Arabidopsis thaliana: one gene and its partner. The protein of the gene in region 1 interacts with the protein of each later gene in a pairwise test. Each region holds a gene or a part of one and is shown on either strand. Other genes may lie near its edges.

Region 1 (4,758 bases):
ACTTGTTTTGCTACACTATATTCTAGATCAGCTTCCTTTTGTTTAGTCCGTCCAGACTTAGCCATCTTCTTTGATTCTAACACTCGGGGTAAAACATACAACTGGTAGTCTTCGTGCAACAGAATGTACTGCATAGTTAGATTAATAGAGTCAGCTGATGCAAAACTAATTCCAATACCAAACTCTTTTTCGCAGACCATTTGATATAAACTCACCTCATCCCGGAATAACGTCACGACTAAGTTTTCCTTTAGCACGACCTGAAATACAACAGGACAGTATTAGAGACAGCACGAATTACACGCAATCTTGATTTGTTTTGAGCATCAAAAACCTAACTCCATTACTAATCTTAAGTTAAACAAACACTGAAAATGAAAGCACTTAACATTTTACAAACAAAGGCAGAGAGAGGCAGAAAATTTCTGATTTGTGAAACAAATTTATAGAACCTATTATTGACCAGATAAGATAGTTTTCAAGATAGAATCCTTGGAGGAAAAACTTCTTTATCAAGATCACAATCGAGAACAAAATGAAAAACAGATTCATACCAGGGCGATATCAATGCTAGTAACACGAAGAAGCTCGTCGGGGCAAACGAGATATCCAAGAAGCACCCACTCTCGGTACGAAGTAACATTTGCAAGATCTTGCGCTCTCTGTAGGAACCAAGAGTGTATTATCTAATATTAGCACTATACATCGAAGTAGAGTTGTAAGGGAAAGACAATAGCATCCTACTAATTCTGAGAATCCTAAGCTTTTATGTTGATAATAATCTAGCCGTTCGTACCATGGGATGAGCAGAATTTGTAAGTATATCTGGGAATCTAGGATGATATGGGCTTAAAAATCCCTCATTTCTCAACTTCCTCGTATCTGCAGATAGAAAAATACTGGGTCCTACAGCCTCCAGGACCTAGGAAAATAGTAACGTTGTTAGTACTGCTGTATCAGTTGCAATATTAGCTCGTAGGATACCCGTGATTTGAATAAAATATTAACCTCTCCAATCCTTGGGCTGACAAAATTCAAATCTTCTTGTAAGCCTTTCAATGGGGGATCATAAGAGTCTATGAATTGCACCAAGCTGGATGCAAGACGAGGAGTGTTAATATATGATATCAGAGTCTATTGATTATATACAAATTAAAAATGATACTACAAGGAAAAAAACATCCATACCGGTGATAAAAGTCACAGTCTCGATCATTTCTTGATAGCGCATGCAGAAGGTTGTAGACTTGCAACAACATTTTCCTAGGAATCTACTTTGATAAAATAAACACTCTTACATATTGATAATAATGTAATGTCTCACATGACATGTGTAATCAATCCAAATAAACAAAGAACTAAGAAAAGGAACAAGCTCAGCATACCTTCTCTGCGAAGAGATTGACTCGGACAAATGCACAAAAGAGATCCATGAATGCATGCAGAATAAGTGAGTTCTGATGAGGCTGCAAAAAGCTGAACTAAGTTATGAGCTAATCATGAATACTCAACAATTTTATCTTCATCCTCACAGACATTTTTGACAAGTAAATAATAACTTAATGTACCAAAACATTTCATGACCTCCACCTAAGGTACGAGTTCAAAAGAAAGCTCAAAGTTTCAACCCAGAGCAAGTAAATACTTTCCGCAGATGAGAGACTTTGACTCACCAGCAAGGTAATTACAGTGCTGCTTAGGTCCAATATAAGCCGCAGTGCCTGTTCTCGAAATGCCATCAAGTCGAGCAGCAGCTGATTCAAGAAAAGAAAAATGCATGACGAGAGGACTATGAAGGCACCCCTTACTGAAATGCTACACACGAACTAAGGAAAGAAGGCTAGCAAATAACTACTCGTTTACATTTTAAAAGTTAAAACCATGTATTAGGTAAATCATATATGCATGCCCAGATATATAAAGCTGACTAATGGTGAGATGGAATAGAAGATTGAATATTGACTATATAGCAGACTGAAGATTGAAGATTGACTAGGTACACAAAGAAAACTAATAGAAAGATTGACTATATAGCATGTAGGACTTCCGAGATGCTTCACCATTCTCGAACAACAAGTTTCACAACAACAGAACGTAAACCCAACAACATATTACATAGATAGTTTCTTATTACCTGTATCCATGGCTCTAAGCTCTGTAAGTGAAGTTCAGCACCATCATGCAAGCTATCCAGTGAAAACTTATCAATCTGCATAAGTATTGCAGAATAAATCTTTTTTCATTTACCATCAGATCAACAAATCAAACAGTAAGTCTAATAAAAAAAGAACTCATGACTTACACGTTCAAGTTGCAATTTGCTGAAATGCTCAGGGAACTTTTTAGAGAGCAAAGTGCATATCCGTGGATGGTTAGGGAAGACACCCGCTTTCCAAAATGCTTCAGAGAATACATGGCCAACAGGATCAGGATACTCCAAGATTTGATTCAGTCTATACATTTTAGCCATGAGACCGTCAGCAACCTCAATCATTTGAACTACCCATTGTATGTTCAAAGCCTTTGTGGAACCACCAACATGTCCATCAATTTGCTTAGAGCTCCTAGTAGAAGACACTGATGCAGCCATTTCAGGTCCCAAGTACTCAGTCCATCTGGAAGGACCTTCCCATTCCCTTGATCTCACAGAAGTCGGGGACATTGATTCATCTTGAGATGGATAATATTGACGAGAATTCGCCATTAATTCAGTACAATAATCTCTACAATAAAGGAAAATGTATTTCAAAATCACGTTACACAATCTCGTCCAACATAATTTACTTAGCTCTCTACTCTTGCATTCATCTTCCAAAAACCCAGTAATACTCAACAACGAGTGACGAGTGAGAATAGATATCCCCTCGTCAATTTCCCAGCAACCAAACAAGGAGCTAAAACCAAGTCAAGCAAGAGTCTCGTGAAGATTGAAAGTTACCTGAGAAGCTTTAAAGGCGAAAGTCAAATCGAGCAAAAATGTCTCAGTAAGATCGGAGCTTCGTCTGAGAGTTCAGATCTGAATTTCTGCAACCTACTCCGGAGACGATGATGACGACGACAAAGAGGAGAGAGAGCGTCGGGCTTAATCGGAGTGTGTGAGCCGAGAAATAAAGAGTTGCTAAATTCGGGTCTCTCTCATTTAAGACAAAATTAGTCAGTAGAATTTCTTTCGTTTTCAACTAAAATGCAGATTTTTTTATTTTTTTTTACTCTTTTCTTGCTCAAGCACATTTTTTACTTTTTACCTGTAAATCTAAACATTTCCATAGGAAACGAAACAATGTAAGTAGAAGAAAATTATGAACAATTGAACAGCTGAAAGTGTTTATCCCTTTCAAAAAATAAATTGTTTATAAAATTTTAATAAAATATGAGATTTTTAGTTATATTGAATCGGAATTGTCTACTTGAATTTGAGCAGTGCAAGACAACATTTTTTCACTAGAAAAAATGATATTTCAAATCATGTGTTGTTTTGGTTTGATTGTAGTTATTTGGATTACAAGTTTTTTTTAGCAAAACTATAGGATTAGCTCCAACTATTGAGATTTTAGCATAACAAACCAATGTTCTTTTATCATATGTACATTAACAGAAGGTAAATTCAAATCTACGACATCTATTTCAATAATGAGGATAGCTAAAATAGAAAAAAGTATTTGGTATATTATGTAGTAAGTACTATTTTTAGTATTTAAAAGGAAAATTTCTGTTAGAAAAAGAACAAACGTTCTAGTTGGGTGGTTGAAATGTAAGTTTTCGAAGCTTTGACAAAATGAGAACAAGTCCCTTAACCGGTAATTTTTAATATTTAAAAACAATTAACCAAGAGAACAATATTGACGTCGACAAATACTAACTTGTAGTATATAATTATCATTATCTCTACATATGGAGTAGCTTTTAGGTGTAATAATTGTCAATTATTTTAGAATTACTGTGTTAAACTTTAGTATGATTCGACTAATAAATAATGTTTCTGACGTTTCTGATGATGAATTTGCCCCTCCCTCACTTTTTGTTGCGTGTCCAAAGCTCAGTGCTATCCAAGCATTTCATCTTTTCAACATAATTATTTGATTTGAGAATTTAATCATAATGTTGATATTACTTTTTTACTAATAGAAAACAATCAAACAATCAAATTAATAAGTAAATTAGTGGAAACCATGACACACAAAAACAACTTCATATAATAAAGTAGGGTTGACAACGCAGGAATATTGTATTACAAGGCACATCTTGTAACTTTGTTGGACAACTGTGGCTAAACAAGCTTGGCCTTCACAATAAGCAACAATGATTCCAAAATCTTTTCCCTCTGTGCACATATCATTGCATCACAGATTTTGTTTCCTTTCACATTATCTTTTGAGGTCCCTATGAACCAGAAAATAACAAAAAAACGGTTTTCACACGGTTGCTACAATATGACCGAACCTATATTCTTTATTCGCATGAATCTTCCATTAGCTTCTTCTTTGTACTCGGCTATTATCTTGGATTCCAATTTCTTCATCTCAGGACTGGGCAGTTATTTTACTGAACTCCAAATTAATTCAAGAGTCTACAAGTGTAGTTGCTGCCGTGCCTAGACCTACGGAGGTAAGGTCCATCTGAAGAGAAGCATTTTTCTTGTCAACATGTTATCTTATATAGTATGAACATTACCAATCCGGTGTACAATTGTTTATAAATAGATGGATGGTGGTCCAGTAGCATTTGATTTGGTCCCTCCAAAGGAGTTGGAGCTTGCTA
Region 2 (4,419 bases), on another chromosome or scaffold:
CCAGGAACATGTTACACGTGTGCATATATGATGCGCATAATTAGTGTGAATAAGGCCACATATGATACGCATATATGATCAGTTGTTCCAAAAAACAATATTAGCGGTTGCATGAACGAGAAAACAGAACCCACAAGGACAATTCACATTTCTTGAGCTATACTATATATAGTTAGTATAACGTGGAAACGGAAAAAATAATCACAAACGAAATTTTTTGCTTTCATTTGCGTTTCACGTTTACTTATAGAAACAATCGAATCATTAAAGACAGAACATACCAGCCGCTGCAGCGCCAACAACATCGTCTCTAGAGTCGGCAAAGTTAAGAAGAAGCCTGGTCCGAGATTCTGGACGAGAAGAGTAAAAGTCTGAGAGAGACATGTTAATGGCGAGCAAGCTCAAGTTGGAGGCAGTTGTCCCAACATCAGTCACAACCCCAACATTAATTACTTGGATTGTCGTATTCTGTCCCTTCCCCAATTTCACGCCGAAGATAAAAACGAGAAACACTAAGACGACGTCGTTGAGATGTCTCTTCATTTTTCTTTTGTTTTTGGTTTTGGTTAAGTACCGTGGAATGTATACATCTTGAAAATATTTTGAACTCATATTTATAAATGGATAAGATTTAACGCCAAAAGGTGTTTGGTTCGAAGAAGTTTTTGTTTTTAGAAGTAAATTATACATATTAACGACCCTTTCTGCTAATGACGTAATATAAAAGTTACATTTCCATAAGAAACATTCTTTTCTTTTTTGTTTAATTGAAGATATAAATCCTTACATCATCTCTTGTCAAAAACCAGCATACAATAAAGTACTTATCTTATTAAACTATTAAATAACTAATAATATGGTTGAAATTTTAACAAAATAGGTTTTTATTAATTAACCAGTACTGGACTAACGTACCTTTGCAAAATTAACTTTTTTTCCATTTTAACTTGACAAGGGCATTATTGGACCTCCCTACACACGCATGCATTTACATAGTAGACGTTATAACTCCCATGTTAACATATTAAACTCATATCATATGTTATATGTGCCACAAATTAAATCTCTGCTCAAGTGGCCGCAAATTTCAGTATCTCATATTTTCTGTTCTAACTTAAAAGTTAACACGGTTACTTTTCATTCCTCGGTCTCAAGTCTTTCGTGATCCATCCAGTTTTGTATAAAAACACAAAAGTAACAAAATTATAGATGCAGCAAGTCGCGGGTAGTGGTGAAAAATAAGTTTCATCAGTAAAACTAAATAAAGAAAGCATATATATATGCCTTTTGTAAGTGATATCATGCAACCCCGTTTCTGATTAACTAATATTACAGAACTAGATGTAAAAAGAGAAGACAAATATATTTTACTTATCTAACATACAGTTTTTAAGTTTTGATATAAGAAAAACATTGTTTAATTAACAAGACGAATGTAGTAGTAAAAGACATTGCAGTAAGGCGTAACCACGTAGTATTCATTCACCATCACCCGTGACCCGAAACATTTTATTTTATATCGTTGAAATGACTTGGTTTGTAAGGAAGAGAGATAGTCAAACAACAAAAAGAAAGAATTAGTCAGATATCGTACTCCCGGAAAAGAAAATAAAAAACGATTCCGTGATTGAAACAGGTTGCTTAAGAGAATAATCATTGGCAGAAATTTGTTTAACACGAACTTTTTTAATCAAGGCCAAGTTGCAAAAAAAGGTCAAACAAAATTACACATTATTTTGAGGAGAAAAGGTTTATATATATATATTTTTTATTTTTTTTTGAACACGGAAGGTTTATATATATATATATATATATGTATCAAATTTTCTTCAAAATAAACTAATGCTATGTTTTTTCTGTTTGAAATTATTATTTCATGAATTTAGGAAGAAGAAAATGATAAAAGGGCCATCGGGCCCATAATCGCAGAAAACGGCCCATATAAATCCACCAAACGAATCTTCTCTCTTGGTATAAATATGCTGTCTTGCGTTACAGAGAAACCCTAGACGTCGAAGATGAAGGTGCGTGACGGCGAAATCGAATAGACTCTACATTTGCTCGTATTCGAGTTTCCTTTGCTAACCTTTTTCATGTTTCTTCGTTTCAGTTCAACGTTGCGAATCCAACTACTGGATGCCAGAAGAAGCTCGAGATCGACGATGACCAGAAACTGTAAGATTTTGCTTCTCTGTTTCATCTTCATTCATTTTTAATAGATATTTCGTGCTAGGTTGCCAGATCTATTGATTGGTGTTTGTATATATCACTGTTAAATTGATAGGTCTAGTAAACAGTAATTGTCAATTTTTCTATGTTCGTCTTATAAGCTTAATAAGAGTTAGAATCTTCTTCTATGTTTAATACTTACATTAAAATAAGTTTCGTATCTGCTCATAAACATATCTGGATTATATTATTCAGCTTGATTTATGTTGATGCAGACGTGCGTTTTACGACAAGAGAATCTCTCAAGAAGTCAGTGGAGATGCTTTGGGCGAGGTACAGATTCCATTTTTCTTACTTTGATCTAATGAGTGTGAAGATTAGCATTTCGAAGCAGATGATGATGTTTTGTTTATGAATTGTTGTTATTGCAGGAGTTCAAAGGATACGTTTTCAAGATCAAGGGTGGTTGCGATAAGCAAGGTTTCCCAATGAAGCAGGGAGTTTTGACTCCAGGCCGTGTTCGCCTTTTGCTTCACCGAGGTAACTAAACATAATACCTTTTCTTACACTTTTGCATCTATAATGGATTTGTATTTGTGTGTGTGTGTGTTTTGCTGTAGATTAACATTGTTTCGTAATGGGTGAACAGGAACTCCTTGCTTCAGAGGACATGGAAGGAGAACTGGTGAGAGGAGAAGAAAGTCTGTTCGTGGTTGCATTGTGAGCCCTGATCTCTCTGTTCTGAACCTTGTCATTGTGAAGAAGGGTGAGAACGATCTTCCTGGGCTTACCGATACTGAGAAGCCAAGAATGAGAGGACCAAAGAGAGCCTCCAAGATCCGTAAACTGTTTAACCTCAAGAAGGAAGATGATGTCAGGACCTATGTCAACACTTACCGCCGCAAGTTCACAAACAAGAAGGGTGAGACACTGAACTTGAGAAATAGTGGTTTCTGAATCACACTTGAGAAATAATGTTTTCTGAAACTTGTTTCTTCTGTTTGGATTTTTGACAGGCAAGGAAGTTAGCAAAGCCCCTAAGATCCAGAGGCTTGTGACCCCATTGACTCTTCAGAGGAAGAGAGCTAGAATTGCTGACAAGAAGAAGAAAATTGCTAAGGCTAATTCTGATGCTGCTGATTACCAGAAGCTTCTCGCCTCGAGGTTGAAGGAACAGCGTGACAGGAGGAGTGAGAGTTTGGCAAAGAAGAGGTCGAGACTCTCTTCTGCTGCTGCCAAGCCCTCTGTCACAGCTTAAAAAAGCTTGAGAATCAAATCAAAGATGTCACCTTTCTAGTTTTGTTCTCTTTTCTTCTCCGGCTATTAAAAAGTTAGTTCGAGTTCATATTCAGCTGTTTTTGTTCCAAGACATGGGTACACAATCGCTTTGGGCTTGTTTCATGATTTATGCTTTTAGTTGAAGACCATTTTAAACTCAATTTTTATTGCTTATCTTTCTCAGTTTTTGATCAAAGCGTTTCTCCATTGAAAACCATTTTAATCACCTGTTTCAATCATACATAATGTTAAACACATGTACTGGCGATTACAATAGGTATATATTTTGACTGAAATTTATGGAGCATTGTATGACGGTTTGATAAATTTCTGAGAAAACTCATTCTTAAGTTTTAAGATTATCTCAACAACTGGTGAATCAAAACTGTGATGTGTGGTTTGGGCCAAACGACCCATAAACGAGTTCAACTTAACAGAGAAAGAACAAAAACAATTATATATGTTGACAGAGAGAGGTAACACAGCAAAGGGGTGGTGGCGCAGTTGGCTAGCGCGTAGGTCTCATAGCTATTGAGTGATCCTGAGGTCGAGAGTTCGAGCCTCTCTCACCCCATATATTTTTGTCCTCTTCAAACTAACCTTAAACTCACGTTTCTCCTTTTTTCCTTGTCACACTGAAACTGAATCGTTTTTTTTTCTTTGTCGACTGATGATATATCTAGATAAAGAGTTTCAGAAAGCCAATTACAAAAGCATCAAAAACACAACCATGATGCTCTAACCAAAGCAGCCAAACTTACAGGCTTAAACAACAAGCCAATATACAAGATCACAAAAAAAAAAAAAAGAAATCTCGTTAGGCTATCTTTTGTGATTTAGATTTTAGTTTTGTTTTCTATCAAAATGTACTCCCTCTATTCCTAAACTTCAAAAGTCTTTAGTGTCAGTGAATGGTGTTGTCAAGTGAATGGTATTGTCACATTTTTTTATATTGTTTTTTATTAATCTAAA

Evidence for each region. Proteins that work in one complex are often made in the same cells at the same time.
Region 2: the proteins of GRL (region 1) and RPS6 come close enough for resonance energy transfer, tested with the Arabidopsis thaliana proteins (one study listed by BioGRID).

Annotation. Positions count from the first base shown.
Region 1 is NC_003071.7:14,800,822-14,805,579, forward strand, and holds the start of GRL (transcription activator), read right to left. Parts: upstream 3,030-4,758; 5' UTR 2,939-3,029; intron 2,724-2,938; 5' UTR 2,705-2,723; coding exon 2,303-2,704; intron 2,210-2,302; coding exon 2,135-2,209; intron 1,755-2,134; coding exon 1,674-1,754; intron 1,467-1,673; coding exon 1,386-1,466; intron 1,272-1,385; coding exon 1,189-1,271; intron 1,094-1,188; coding exon 1,009-1,093; intron 923-1,008; coding exon 797-922; intron 663-796; coding exon 555-662; intron 261-554; coding exon 1-260. UniProt on the Arabidopsis thaliana protein: Involved in regulation of actin and microtubule organization. Part of a WAVE complex that activates the Arp2/3 complex.
Region 2 is NC_003075.7:15,345,314-15,349,732, reverse strand, and holds RPS6 (ribosomal protein S6), read left to right. Parts: upstream 1-1,928; 5' UTR 1,929-2,018; coding exon 2,019-2,024; exon of another isoform or gene 2,025-2,034; intron 2,035-2,110; coding exon 2,111-2,175; intron 2,176-2,444; coding exon 2,445-2,502; intron 2,503-2,600; coding exon 2,601-2,709; intron 2,710-2,818; coding exon 2,819-3,091; intron 3,092-3,185; coding exon 3,186-3,427; 3' UTR 3,428-3,754; downstream 3,755-4,419. Other genes in the region: GLR2.4 (glutamate receptor 2.4), read right to left, coding at 282-612. UniProt on the Arabidopsis thaliana protein: Component of the 40S small ribosomal subunit. Plays an important role in controlling cell growth and proliferation through the selective translation of particular classes of mRNA.